2 linked regions of the Caenorhabditis elegans genome follow. The protein of the gene in region 2 interacts with the protein of the main gene of each other region in a pairwise test. Each region holds a gene or a part of one and is shown on either strand. Other genes may lie near its edges.

Region 1 (3,753 bases), on a different chromosome or scaffold from region 2:
TTTCATTTTCTTCCTCAGGGTCCGGCCATTTTTCATCAAGTGTCGGAAGTAGGTCGGCTACTGAGTATTCTGCTTCTTCCGCTATGCTTTTACTCGTTGATTCCATCATTTTTGATAAGGAAATCTGAAAAATGGTGTTCTGGTCTGCTAGACTACAAACTACAAACTATAAACTATAAATTGTAAAATATATACAAAAAATTTAAATTTGGCAGATCAAATCATTTTGAAACTGGCAAATATTGGTCTGACGGACTACAAACTATAAACTACAAACTACAAACTACAAACTACAAGTTATAAACTACAAACTATAAACTACAAACTACAAACTAGAAACTACAAACTACAAACTACAAACTACAAACTACAAACTACAACTATAAATCTCTGACTTCAAAATAGCAGATCTAGCCAAACAAAACTATTAACCTACATATGACAGACTCAATCAATTTTAAACTTGCAAATTTTGGCCTGATGGACTATACACTACAGACTACAAACTACAAACTACAAACTACGAATTATAAACTACAAACCATAAACTACAAACTATAAATTACCAACTTCGAAATAACAGATCTAACCACACAAAACTATGAACCTGCAAATGGCAGACTCAATCAATTTTAAACTAAAAAACATTGGTCTGACGGACTACAAACTATAAACTACAAACTACAAAAACTACAAAGACTACAAACTACATCTTCACCACCACCTCCTCATCCAGCTCACCTCAAAGCTTGTTTTGCTCGGCTTAATTCTGTTATTTTTCATCGCTGCCGCCGCTGCAACGTCATCAGAGTTACGGGGAACTGCGTAAGCGGATTTCGATTTAATAATACTCCGAAGACACGGATGAACCAGAAATTCGGCGTCAGAATCCTCTTCTGAATCGTCATCACCTCCAGAGGAATTGTCGTTGTGCAGCCAGTCGGCTGAGTAGGACTGGAAAAAAATTCAGGAAATTTGGAGGTTTTAGAGGCTTCTTTTTGGTTTTTCGATATGAAAATCGAGTTCCCGACATTTTTTACCCTGGAAACTTTTTTTTTTCGAGCTTCTAGCTCATTTTTGAAATTTTTTGGGTTACTGTAGCTCCAGAAGTACGCAAACACTGCACCTTACGACAAAATGCAGAATGCTTTGAAATTGACTTAAAATGGTGTTTGAGGGGTAAAAAATTGTGTTGAAAATGAAATTCGGTGTGAAAAATTCCAAAAATGAGTTGCGTTTTTTTGCCGAGAAAATTTTTTACTGGAAAATTTGTAGAAATTTGAAATTTTTCACAATTTTTATTAAGAAATTCGGATTCTCCGTAATTTTTCACCCTTAATAAGTTTTTCTCTAAACTTCTGGCTCAATTTTAAGTTTTTTGGAATTACTGTAGCCTCAAAAGTACGCAAACACAAATCGATGCACCATACCTTACGACAAAATGCACAGAAAATTAAAATTGGCTGAAAAAGCTGGGAATGGGGTAGAAAGTGGCGCTGAATTTGAATTTTGATATGAAAATTTTTAAAAGTTGCTGGTTTTCGAGAAAAATTTCGAGTTTTGAAAAAAAAAAAATTTTTAATTTTTTTGTTGCTTTTTGCAAAAAAACCGGTTTAGGAGCAAAAAAACGCTGCTGAATTTGATTTTTATAGTTAAAACCTTTAAAAATCAACGGTTTTCCTGAAAAAACCTACCCTCCGAATAACCGTCGGACACTCGTCATCATCCTCGTCCTCCGTGTTCTCCTCAATCGGAAAATCATCGCATTTTCGACATTCAAATGCGCTCATTTTGTGCTGAAATTTTTAAGACTTAAAATTTCAAGTAGTGGAAAAGAAGTTTTGGAGCAAAAAAAAAAAAAGAAAAAAGGAAAAATAAAAGTGAATCTCTGTTCCAGACATGCGCGCTGGAAAAAATGATGAATGGAGTGGATGAGAGAGTGAAGAGAGTGCAGAGAAAATTGCGTTGAAAAACAACTCAAAAAAGGGGATCATGGAAAAAATATTCAGAAAATTTTCAAAACTTTTGTTCTTGAAAAATTCCAAAAAAAAATTTTTTTTCACCGAAATTCCAAAAATAATTTTTTTTTCCAAAATTTAACTTCTCAACAATTTTTTCGTCAAATTTTACAGCCGAAGCCTTTTTTACCGAGTTTCTAGATCAATTTTCGAGTATTGCGGGGGTACTGTAGGTTCAAAAGTACGCGAACACCGGACCTTGCGACAAAATGCACAGAAACTCAAAATTGCCGGAAAAGACGTGGTAGGGGTAAAATCAAGACCTGAATTTGAATTTTTAGATGAAAAATTGAGAAAGTGAAAAATGAAAAATAAAGAAAATAAGTTTGGAAAAAAAATTTTCTAAAATTTTTTTTTCCCGAAATTCCAAAAAAACTTTTTTAAATCAAAATTGAAGTTCCCTACGAATTTTTTGTCAAATTTTCCAGCCAAAGTCTTGTTTCCGAGTCTCTAGCTCAATTTTTAAGTCTTGCGGGGTACGGTAACACAGAATCTCAAAAATGTCGGAAACAGGTGTGGTATGGATAAAATAAGGTGCTGAGTTTGAATTTTAACATGAAAATCAGGAAAAATCTTGATAAAATAAAGATTTTCGAGAAAAAAACATTTTGCCAAAAACTCAACTTTTCGGGGGTACGGTAACCCCAAAAGTACGCAAACACCGGACCTTACGACAGAATGCACAGAAACCGAAAGTTGTCGGAAAAGGATGGATTAGGGGTAAAATTAGGTGCTGAGTTCGAATTTTAGCATGAAAAATTGATGAAAATTGAATAAATAAAGATTTTCGGGAAAAATTGCTAAAAAAAATTTTTTTTTGCGATGTTTTTTTCTGGCTTATAATTTTCACCAATGTTATTGGCTATATCATATCACGAGTTTTGACATGTTATCTCAATTTCCTCCCCCCCCTTTCTTCACTCCATTTCCCTCATCGAGAGAGCACACACATTTTCCAATAAATTCCGCGCATTTCCTGCTCTCTGAGGGTAGCGTCTTCTTCACACTAATCTCCCGACGAGATAGTATGTGAAAGTGAGAGACGCAGAGAAAATGAGAGCAAAAAAAAGATGTAGTAATGAGTGGGAATAGATTAAGGGGTACCCCCTGAAAGAGGGGGGGGGGGGGGGGTGGGGAGGTGCAGGTTTTTTTCGAAAAACCAAAAAAATTTCTCAAAATCCAACGATTTTCATAATTTTTCACATTGAAATTCGATCTCAGCACCTCATTTCACCCCTAGAACACTTTTTTCAGAGGATTTTGAGATTCTGTGCATTTTCGCGTAAGGTGTGCGGTGTTTGCGGACTTTTGGGGCTACAGTACCCCCCAAAAGACAAATTTGAGCAGGAAACATAAGAAAAATGTTAGAAATTTAATATATAGCCCTATAATTTATTTCCAGGCGAATATATCTTCCGAAAAAGAAATTTTGAAAGAAAAAACTAAAAAAATTGAATTTTCAATGTTTTCAGGTATTTTTTGATAATTTTAACTGTCAAATTCAAGTTCAGCGCCTCATTTCACCCCTGGGACTGTTTTTTCCGATGATTTTGAGATTCTGTGCATTTTCGCGTGAGAGACTCGGTGTTTGCGTACTTTTGGCGCTACAGTAACCCAAAAACGTCAAAATTGTGCAGAAAACGCGGGAAAAATTGTTCAAATTCTCGAAAAACGGGAAATTTGGAAAAACAATTGCAATTTTTTTCGGAAATTTTCAAATTTGAGCAAGAAGCTT
Region 2 (3,753 bases):
TGAGAGGAGTACAGACTGAAAATGGAAATGGAACGTGAGAAAGAGTAAGCGGCGAAAAAGACAAGATAGTTCAACTGGAAAAAAACTAGGCGGAATATATCGCTAGAGCGGAAAATACCCCGTGCACCGACAAAAAGGAACAAGTAGATGACAGAGCAGCGCGACAAGATGCCGGAGGAGGAGCGAGGGACAAAGTTTCCGATGGCAAAATAGTAAGCAATGTGGGCGAGACGGACGGAAAACGATGCGATTCACCAAAGCATCTGGCCCCTATCTTTCTCCCACAAAACACAAAACTACCATTGAACCATCTGGGTGAAAATGAAAATGCGACTGCGATCAGATTATATATCGGAAGATGCGATGTTGTACAGTAAATGGATGAGATGACATTTTCGCAAAGATCAGGAAAAAGAGTGAACCGGAAAACCCCGCTGGTCCAGAGGTCAGGTGCCTTGCTGCGCTGGTCGTCTTATTTTCGATGAGAGAAAACAGGCAAGTATGTAGGAGAGGAAAATGAGCACACACCTCGTAAACAACTAGGTCCCGCCAATTCTGGAAGCAGTTAGCGGTGCACACCACTACTCTATGATCGAATGTCAACAGAACCACTACAGAAAAATCTAAAAAGCTTAGTGTCTTGCTTATATGTATCTATGTAATATTCTTAAGATTTTATTGTTTTGGTAAAATGTATCGTAATTAAAAATATCTCATTATATCTCATACCGGCTTCTGATGTCTTAGTTCAATCAAGGGGTTCTTCAAAAGTACATTCTTGTGGCAAAGCAGCTGAATAAGATTAGAAAGCGAGATCGAGCATGAGCAAAGGTGTGGTTTCCGTTGTCAAGGTCTACGTCCTAACTATTTCCTTTTTCTGTGCAGTTCACACAAGTGATTAATCTGGTGCACTTTCTGATAGTAGGATCAAAACTAAATGAGCTACCAGTCTACATAATAACATACTTAAAATTCTAATCTTGTCAGATAAACCGTGGATGCAATGAATATTTGAAAGTATAAATCAAATATTTAAAACTTAAGGTCAAAAAAGAGTATAAAACTCAATAAAACACTGAAAGACGGTACTACAGAGTGCATTTGTTAGATTCTTATGATAATATCTTATCTACCAAAGCGAACTATGCGCGCCAACTGCTGCAGTGTAACTGTAGAACTGTCCAATCGCTAACGAAACATACCGCCTGGCCTCTCTACTGGGCGAAATACGGTATGGGTGGGCAACTGTTGTGCAGTATCGTATAGGCTCATAAACTTTTGTGTTGCACAATCGAATGGAATACACAATCGAATGGAATACGACAGATATGGTTTATGGAACAAAATACTCTCTGATCTTCTAATACAATTATAATATGACTCTCGCTACTGGGAAAACTACTCTAACTTGATGTTCTAGAATTGTACTTATATTCATCAAAGTGCGCTGCCTATCTGATGCGAGATTTTCATAATCGAAAAGTTAGCGCACAAAAATAGAAAATGAGCGAATTTGGCCTATTGGATCAGATAGCGACAAATAAGACAATAAAAACACATAAAAATGATGCAAAACTGTGACTCACTTTATCGGTATGAAACATTTGCTGATGTTGTTGCAAGAGTTTTGTACTTGAAAATGACTTCGGACACTGAGGACATGTCAGACTCTCTTCTGTCATCAGAATCGTTGCTTGTACTAGCGGTGATACGCACACAGACATCCAGGATGGTCAACGACTCTGTTTTCTTTAACGTCAGCTTTTCTTCAACCTGTGCCAACGTTGATGTTTTGTGAATAACGATTTAGTGAGTATGATTGGAGTGAAGAGAGGGACCCTGTCCACAAAATAGATGGGTGCCAGGAAAAGGTAAAACGTGCTCCTGGTAGAAGGAGACGATGAAAAGGACGGACGGAGGGGGGAGGAGAGTGCCGACCGATCGGACAGGACGGGCGCACAGAGAGAGGGGTGGGGCTCCGAGCTATTCCTAAGGGGTGGAGCGACAGAAAACGCCGGAGCCGGAGAGAGCTCAACTCGTGGACGTGGAGGGCACGGAGCTCTACAGTGAATAGAAGGGTGACCACGTCTTCTTTTCCAAACAGGGAAGGCGCTCCACGACGACGATGTGGACGATAGAAAACGAAAGACAGGCAGGGGACGTGGAGGCTCCGCCCTATTTTGCATAACGTTCTGGCTTGCTATGGGGTGCCTACTCAGTATCCCGAGACGAGTCTTGAAGCTCTCTCTGATTCATGCGGTCACTCGTCACTTGGCGGTCTGTCTACAGCTAGCTCGTTTCCTAGTCGGAATGGGAGTGTGGAGCGAGTGAATGTGTTGGTCGAGGAGAAGCAGCACCAGAGCTCAAGCCTTTTCCGCCGAGCACACTGTGCCAGCCGGATACGGCACAAAACTATTCATTATTCGGGATATTTCCTACAAATGAACATGGATACAGAACTAGATTTTTGCAAACGGGTTTCATTTTTGTATTTGAAGCTAGCTATCAAAACTAAATCCGTTTAATAAAATTACTTGATTCAATTTTCATGTTTCAGCTTGTCTCACAAACACATTATTACACTCTCAAACTTAATTTAATATAACTAATAAGAAACTATACTCAACAGCGTAAAACATCTGGGCGAAGAAATTGCTTTACAAAAAAACTCATAATATTTCATTTCTAGATTTCACAAGATCTGTCAGTAACAAAACGAAAAGAAAACCGACAAGAAGAGAGGAGGGGGAGTTTTGGCGCGGTAGATGAAGAAAACATGACGATGACAGTTGGCGAAAACAGGCGAGCAGGTAAATTGTACACAGTTGCCGTGCGCCGTAATCACCAAAAAAATCAATGAGCGGATAGAGAGGGAATAGACACAAGATAGTGAGCCTGTGCGGTTGAAAACTGACACCCATTAGAAAACCCGCAAAAACGGAAAGCTGTAACGGACGATACGAAAGATGTTGGAAAAATACAAAAAATCTGACTGGTGTATGTTGCAACATGTGGTTCGTGTTTACGCTTCTCAGTAAACCTGTGAAGAGGTCACCGGCCTTGACTGAACACTCGACCGTACGTACTTTTGTAAAATAATGCCGCTGTTTCAACAAAATTCACAATATAAAACTTTTATTTTTAATACTGAAAAAAATTCCCACCAAAAAAAAGATCAACTGCGTAGTCTATCTCATGACTGTCATGAGCATAGTGCATGCCGCGGCGCTTGTCACTAACCATTTCTGCTTCTACTTTTCATTTCCTTTCTCTTCTCCTCTTTCCACTCCCATTTTCACATTTCCAATTTGGAAACCAAACAGCGGTAAAATAAAACGTGTGCTAAGGGCTTCATCCTGTATGTCAGTTTGTCGTGTCCCTTCTTGCAACACTTATCCATCGCACCGTGTAGGCGGATCTGGACGTGACAAATTGGTGAGACCTGGTGAAGCTAGAAGAAGAAAAATATTCAAAGGGGAATGAAGAGACGAAAGAGCAGGCGAATTGTGGAGACATTCTGAAATACAGATAAACTATGTGTTTATGCTCTCTCTCCACTTTCTTTTTTCACTCGTTTTGCTTCTCTCGCTTGTTAGTCTCTGCTGTCCGGCAAGTCCGACGATAAACATGTTGTGATCTATCAGCTTCACTGATGAATTCACCAAATCTACAATTTGACCAAATAGGAAGTGGTCGATTTCAGTCAGAAAAAGGGATTTAGAAGATATTAATCATGTATTGTTGAAGACTATG

Evidence for each region. Proteins that work in one complex are often made in the same cells at the same time.
Region 1: the proteins of syd-9 (region 2) and jip-1 interact in a two-hybrid assay, tested with the Caenorhabditis elegans proteins (one large-scale study listed by BioGRID).

The regions. Positions count from the first base shown.
Region 1 is NC_003280.10:1,325,038-1,328,790, reverse strand, and holds the start of jip-1 (PID domain-containing protein), read right to left. Parts: upstream 1,797-3,753; 5' UTR 1,791-1,796; coding exon 1,695-1,790; intron 955-1,694; coding exon 742-954; intron 125-741; coding exon 1-124.
Region 2 is NC_003284.9:7,216,439-7,220,191, reverse strand, and holds the start of syd-9 (Zinc finger protein syd-9), read right to left. Parts: upstream 1,923-3,753; 5' UTR 1,725-1,922; coding exon 1,587-1,724; intron 16-1,586; coding exon 1-15. UniProt on the Caenorhabditis elegans protein: Plays a role in regulating synaptic function, probably by modulation of endocytosis. May be dispensable in muscle for normal locomotion. May be involved in post-transcriptional mRNA processing, in parallel with unc-75.